Linked DNA regions of Coturnix japonica. The main gene of each other region encodes a partner of the protein of the gene in region 2 in a complex. Links are inferred from orthologs where the notes say so. Each region holds a gene or a part of one and is shown on either strand. Other genes may lie near its edges.

Region 1 (3,652 bases), on a different chromosome or scaffold from region 2:
GTGGATTTACTTTGCTGACACTAAGAAAGGAGAAGCTGGCTTCTGTATTTCTAACCAGGGATAGTGATATGTGGTAGGAACAATTGTATTGTTACAGTTTTTTTCCACGCAGACTGCATCTGATACATGAATGGATCAGCAAAGATGTGGTAGCTAACTGTGTGTGAACTGTCTGAGCTCAATTTGTTTCACATTCAGCAGTATGGGTTACTTCAAATGCATGCACAGAAATGGCAGCCTTGCAGAGTTCAGGGGGAGGGTAGAGGTGAACCAAGGGCTGAAGGTGGATTACCTATGGATTAAGGAATTTTGTAACAAAGCAGGTATTAACCACATTGGTAAAAAGGTGATTCTGTAGATAAAATGGAAACCATGCAAAACTAAGGATGAGAGGTCAAGACTACTATAGTGTGTTGTGAAAATATTAAGGCTGGGGAGATGCAAGCTTAGGTGTTTTGTTTATGAATTAGCAGGTTTCTAACACTGATCTCACATGTCAGAACTGTTCAGTTTTTGATAAATTTCGTGTCTTCTAGTTTTGAAAGGTCATGGCTGTGGCTACCTAGAATATTCCCTGGAACCTAGAACAGATGGTTCAGTGTTTTTTGCCTTGGAGCAGCTTAGGTCAAGTGCAGTAGCAGTGTTCTTGTTTTATTGTTTTGGATTTTAATAGACCTTCAGAGAAGCAAAGCATGTAATGTTCGGTAAAAGTGTTTTTTAACTGAATCAACCTACAGCTGTTTTACTACAGTAATCATAGAATGGAAGTGTTGGAAGGGGCCTTTAAGATGATCTCATTTCACTCCCCCTACCGTGGGTAGGGATGCCTCCCACTAGACCAGGTTGCTCAAAGCCACATCCAGCCTGGATGCTTCCAGGGAGGGGGCATTTGCAACTTCTCTGGGCAACCTGTTCCAGTGTCTCACCACCCTCACGGTAAAGATCTTCCTAATATATAGTCTAAATCTACCCTCTTCCAGTTTAAAGCCATTTGTTCTATTCTTCCTCTGCATACCTTACTTATTGCTCTTCTTTGCTTCAGCCTCTGCAAACCTTGGTTCAAATAAATGTACTTTTTTTTTTTTTTTTTTTTTTTTTTTTTTTTTTTTAAGGTTTAAATGCATACTGGTTAACAACCTTGTGTAGATTCCAATCCCTGAAAATTTTAGGCAGTCCTTTAGTGTAGTAGGAAGTTCCATCTCTTTTTGCCTGGTTTAGTCTGAAGTGGTCAAGTGAAAGGGAATGTGTAATGTGAAGTGTTAACGATGTTAGAAGTTGTACTACCTGGGACTGTTTCAAGGATAAGAGCCATTTCTTTTTTAGTTGTAGAGGGTACTGTCCACAAACACATAACATCTTGTTTAATGACCATTGTTGCATTATTTTGTTTATCAAATTTGACCATTTTGCATAATCGCAGTCTTTAGATTACCTGTTTAGATGTTGACTCTTGGGTCACTTGCCCTCCAACACATGCTTCTTTATAAAGAATATTGAATGTATAGAAATTTCATGTTATTTCAAAGTTGCCCATCACACATCTGTGGTGTTTGAGTTTTCTTAATGTGTTAGCTCATAACTGTTTGCAACAAGAAAATGTTAGCTTTCCATTAATAGCAAAAGTTGGAGGAGAGGAAGGAGGCGAGAACATGGCATAGTTGGAAATAATGTAATAAGGTAGGAAAAATGTAAATACCTGTGGCTATCAGTTTATTTAGCAGATACCTAGGGAATGGGGGTAGGTGTCTGCCATCTTCCCTCACGAGGTCAGCTCACTTACGTTTAAAGCTCCAAATAAATCCTTCACTTGTTTCCTGTGTGAAGCATCCTTTTCCTTATACTGTTCTAAGAAATAGTGTTGTTTTTTTGTTTTTTTTTTTTAAAGATCTTTTCCTATCAAGAATTCATTGACTTAACTCTGCATTTTTGATAACCCTGCTGGATTGATAATCCTTGGTTGATTTATTTATTAATAATGTGAAAAATTCTTAGCAATGATAGAAGTAATTTATTTATTTATTTATTTATTTTCTATTTTGTTCTCTTTAACCTGACATATGTATACTTCATTTCCTTGTGATGGCTCTTTTACCTTTTGTGGTAATCAGAGAGGCTTATGCTTTTGCATGCACGAGTATGCTAGAGATTGGCATTGTACCAAGGTCATTGGTTTGCTCTGTGGTTCCCATTGCTGACTGAGGCAAGCTTCTGGAAGTGAAGCCTTAGTTCAAGTGAAAGTAGGACAAGAGGTGTCTGGACATGCATATTTTTTCCTGCTTCATGGTTTTTTTGAAGAAAGCCAAGGATGCTCTCCAAGATGTTATAAGATAACACAGACTAATTGTATGATTCTGCTTTTGGGATGATATGAATGAATGCGAATCATTTTTTAAACATCCGTTTTACATATCCAGTCTTCACTAAGCAGAGATGTGTAGTATTTTTAGGGAGCTGTTTGAAATCCTGCTCTTCTTCACCAGCAAATTATAGATACAGCTTTATATAAGGTAGGGGGACAGGTGGGTGGAAGATCCCAAAGCTTCCCAGAAAGTTTGTGGGCATTCTTGAAGCATGCATCAGAGGCCAAGTGATGCAACAGCAAGCATCTTGGTAGGATACAATCTTCAAAGAGTTGCATTTACAGGTGAGCAAAGTATCTTTTATTATTTGCAGTTTCATGCTTGCAGAGATAGTGTTGCATATTATCATAGTAGTTCTGCTTCTACTCACTCCTAGATATTAAGCACCGTCGAATGCCTATTCTTTTCTTTGCTAACAAGATGGACCTCAGGGATGCAATATCATCTGTGAAAGTATCTCAGTTATTATCATTAGAAAACATCAAAGACAAGCCTTGGCATATCTGGTAAATTTTCTTTCTTCCTCTTTTTTTGGTGTTAATTTGTACATTCATATTCTAGCACTCTCATGCCACTCATTATGTAATACAAACTAAATAAGCCAGATAAAATGCTGTGCTGCTATATGTGGAAGGAGTAGAAACATTACAATACTCGCTGTGAAATTTATTTTAAACACACAGTGCTTTCATGTAGACCATGACTTGAAAATTTTCGCAAGAGATCTGTTAGCCAAATATTGAAACAGAAAACTTAACCAAGCTCAAAATGCCCTTATCAGAAGAGTAGCTGCAACTGTTTTTGCTGGAAAGTAGAACTGTTGTCTCTCCTTTCTGGGAGGATATAAAGATTTCCTATAGAAAAAAAAAAAAAAAATAAAAAAATTGTATTCACACAGGAGGGGAGAGGGAAAAAAAGAAGTGTTTCTTAATTGCTTTATAGGCATTAGATTTTTGTTTTACTGAAGTTCTCAGGTATTATGAATTAAAAGTAAAATCAGCAGCGAAGTGAAGCTTAGAAATAAAATGTTCATTTACGCCCTTTACTATTAAATTTTATTTCCCTGGGTGTTTTATTATGGTCCCAGCTTTACACTGATGGATTCTCAAGCTACTTGAAAAATAATTTTATAGATAACCACAATAACAGCAGAGATTTGCTACTGTGCTACATTTCTTAAGTTGCGGAATAAGGAGCCTTAGGCTGTTGCACTCTTTTAGATTCTCACTGTTCTCATGGCAGCTTGACTTTCTTTATATATAGACAGTTCTAGGGTGTATAGTAGTCTGACA
Region 2 (3,652 bases):
AGACATAGTTGCAGCATGAAGTAAGAGTGAAAGGCTGGTAGGATTTCAGGTGAAAGCTGGGGAGAAGGAACCATGGGAGTTTAGGTTGGGATGCTGGTAAGATTGCTGTGGAGATTTCAGAGTAGGGATTATTAGCTTCGTTTTTAAACTCCTTTGGATTTTTGTTTGTCTGCATATTGAGGTGTTATTTGTAAACATACAATACATACACGTATAATAGATAATAGTCTCGTGCGGGTTGAAAGGGACCTTAGAGATCATTGAGTCTAACACCTGGGATTTGAGCCTCTGTGTAGCAGAGCAGCACTTCTACCACTTGTGCCACAGGGGGGATTCGAACCCGGGCCCCGGTGTTGCAACGTGGCACTTCTACCACTGCGCCACCAGGGCACACATATGTGCTTGACTGTTTTAGTTCTAAACAATATTTACGTTGCATGAAAGCCTCTTACAGTGGTGGTGAGTTGTAAGGTGATCTTGTTGTGTAAATGGGAGCTGGACTGTTGGGGGTGTCTCGTTCAGGCACTGGGTTGGGTTTCTCTTACATCTGGATTTCTGTAAGTAGAATCACTGCTTCCTTCCATCCATAGATTGATGAGAATTGTGTAGAGCTCACATAAACTAAGGCTGTGAAAGGATCAATCTTAAAATAGTTTGATCTTCCTTTTCGCTAATCTCTTCTACCCTGATACAAATCCCTTTAGTGTGTTAATCTGGTGCTTAATTTAGTTTCTGTTAGATTATTTGTCAGTGTTCAGGTCTAGATTCAAGAAACAGTTCTTACTTGCTTTAGGTGCAGTACAACACTCACAATTAGATGTGTGTTCTGAATAAATAATATAAATGGTTTCTTCTGTAAAGCACATTAAATAGCCCATATTTCCTAAATTCAGGAAAAGTTTGTAAGCAGAACTCCAGAGCGAGGAAGCATTTGTTTTAAAGTGTGTCCTATTACGTGACCTCATTGCAGCCTTTCAATACCTGAAGGGAACTTACTCCCAGGAGGGGAGTAAACTCTTTGAAAGGGCTGACAATAGCAGGACACAGGGAAATGGTTTTAAGTTGAAAGAGGGAAGATTTAGGTTGGATGTTAGGGGGAAGTTCTTCACTAGGAGAGTGGTTAGGCCCTGGAACAGGCTGCCCAGGGAGGCTGTGGATGCCCCGTCCTTGGAGGTGTTCAAGACCAGGTTGGACGGGGCCCTGGACAACCTGATCTAGTAAATGTGTATGTTTGGTGGCCCTGCCAGGCAGGGGGGTTGGAACTACATGATCCTTGAGGTCCCTTCCAACCCGGGTCATTCTGTGATTCTGTGTGTGATTCTGTGACACTAATGGTAGGATTTCCTTTTTCCCCTGATGGGATGAATATTTTCAAACCTTTTCAATAGGTGCGTTTTTATGATTCTAAACTTTTGATTTGTTTTTATTTTTTAATTTTTTGTAGGTGATTCTGGAGAAGAAATTGTGTATGGAACTTCTGATGGTAAACTGGGGCTTATCCAGATTACTGGTTCTGCTTCTGTACCTAAGTGGGAAATTGAAAATGAAAAAAGGAGAGGAGGTTTGTGTCTCAGCATCTCCCTCTTTAGTTTTTAAGCACAGCTGAGGCTTTGTTACAATATAATCATCAAGAAATACGTTTCATAGATATTTAGGAGATGTATTTTAATATTGTCAATATGTGATATTAATGTGTTAATTATCTTCCATTCTTACAAGTAATTCTTGTCTGTTTGCCAAGTATCTTGTTTCCTGTACTTTAGTATGTTTTCATACTTACAGTACAATGTTAAAGTGCCATTTGTAAAACAGTTTCGTTGTGCATGATCACTTGGGATTTTTATCATGTTGGTGACTTTTAAAATGTAAATATACGTGCTAGATTTTTTCAGATATGCAGTGACCTGAAAGTCCCCTCAGATTAAAGACTGGCATCTTCACTGCAAGACAAAAATAACAACAACAACAACAAAAGCAGGGCAAGGATTTTTTTCTAAAGATGGAATAATGCTCTCCTTAAGGCTCCATAATATGGTGTAACTTGTTTGGGCATAGTACAATACTTTTCCCTGTTATAGCCTTGGTATGCTGTTTCTGCAGCGTGTTAGTACTTATTTTTGTGTAAAGGAGAAGAATAGTGATATATGTGGTTTTTTTTCTAAGCTTTCACGAGGTAATTAGATCTATTACTTAACTCTTCAGTTAAAAATCTTCTTGGTATGGCTAAACTTCGAATATGAAATATGAATGGGTTCTTTTGCTTCCTTCTTCCACACCGTAACTCTGTGTCCATTCTAGCCATGGTTAGCTGTTACAATACATCTTAGCATGTTGTGTAGCAGCACAAACCTAACACGGGTCTGGTGCAAATCAGGACCCTGTGTCTGCCCCATCAGCTGGAATTCACAGCAGTCCATTTGGCTTTCTGTCGGCTATAGGAGACAAAATGTGCTCGCTTCTTCAGCTGGTAGAGCTGATCAGACAAACAGCGTGGGAAAAAAATGTGGACGTTAGTCACAGAGAAGAGACTTCAGCCCTCTAGTGGACTCTTCCAGAAATAGCATCAATAAAAAAAGCCCAGCAAGAATCTCTTTCTATGTAATTTAATGTGGCCTTCATATTAATGCGTTGTAAACAACCAAAGATGAAGCAGACAGTTTTTTTTCTTTTTCATTAGGTATCTTATGCATTGATAGTTTTGACATTCTGAGAGATGGAGTTAAAGAGTTACTTGTTGGGCGAGATGATGGAGTGCTGGAAGTCTATAGCTTTGAGAGTGCAGATGATCCTGTCCTTCGGTATGATTATGTAAGCTCACATCCAGTGTCTTCTTTCTTGCTGGAAAGATGAATTTAAAAACTCTGTACTTCAAAATATCAAGTATTCACAAGATTGGTTAGAGCTAAAATATATTTGTTGTTTTTAGTTTTCTATGCTCTATAATGCTGACAACACAAACGTCAAAGTGGTATCTATGTACTTAAGAACCAGTTATTGCAGTGGTCTTGATTAGAGCAAAAAATAGTGCAGAGAGCTATTAGGCTTCTCCTGGGTGAAACCTAATACTGTGCTTCTCAGCAAAAAGAAAGCAAGACAAAAAACCTACCTCCACATTGTGTGCGGTTTGTTTTGCATGTAAAATATTAAGTGTAGCTGTTATGACTTTAACAACTCACAGGCCAAGTAATTCTGCTCAGTAAAGATGTGGATTTGATCCATAGAGTTAATTTCATCCTTCAGACAGACTGTAAATCTTGCTGGAAAAGTGTTTTCCTTTAATGTTTTCCTTTAAACCACTTTCTACTGTCTGTATTAAGCAGAGTTAATTCAGAATGCATTGTTTAAAGCATCTTGCTTTAGCTGTGGTAATCAGCTAGCTCACTCTTGTGGATCTAGATATTTTGAATCCATGTTGATATTTTGTGATGTAGGTAAAACTCCCCCCCAAAAACAAACAAACAAAAAAACCCACCAGGTATTTAAAACAAGCGCAGTAATATTTCCCTCTGCTTGAATGTATTTATTTGAAGGTTTTATCAGAGAGCATTTCATCAATCCAAGGTGGCTGTGTAGGAAAAGATGGTTATGATGAAGTTTTAGCATGCACGTATTCAGGTAAGCTTTGTGTTATGTACTCAGTAAGGTCTAGATA

Evidence for each region.
Region 1: the proteins of BBS7 (region 2) and ARL6 are in contact, whole or in part, in a cryo-EM structure (PDB 6VBV), measured with the Bos taurus proteins. The link is inferred for Coturnix japonica from reciprocal best matches to the Homo sapiens genes BBS7 and ARL6. Residues at the interface, in NP_001178275.2 of Bos taurus: Leu3, Ile249, Val250, Gly251, Asp300, Gly301, Tyr302, Asp303, Thr319, Glu320, Pro321, His323, Lys324, Glu325, Ser326, Gly327, Pro328; in NP_001069250.1 of Bos taurus: Met132, Asp133, Arg135, Thr139, Ser140, Val141, Ser144, Trp157, His158, Ile159, Cys160, Ala161, Asp163, Lys166.

The regions. Positions count from the first base shown.
Region 1 is NC_029516.1:81,828,551-81,832,202, forward strand, and holds part of ARL6 (ADP-ribosylation factor-like protein 6), read left to right. Parts: intron 1-2,736; coding exon 2,737-2,866; intron 2,867-2,871; exon of another isoform or gene 2,872-3,214; intron 3,215-3,652. UniProt on the Homo sapiens protein: Involved in membrane protein trafficking at the base of the ciliary organelle. Mediates recruitment onto plasma membrane of the BBSome complex which would constitute a coat complex required for sorting of specific membrane proteins to the primary cilia.
Region 2 is NC_029519.1:48,260,950-48,264,601, forward strand, and holds part of BBS7 (Bardet-Biedl syndrome 7 protein), read left to right. Parts: intron 1-1,444; coding exon 1,445-1,561; intron 1,562-2,677; coding exon 2,678-2,808; intron 2,809-3,530; coding exon 3,531-3,615; intron 3,616-3,652.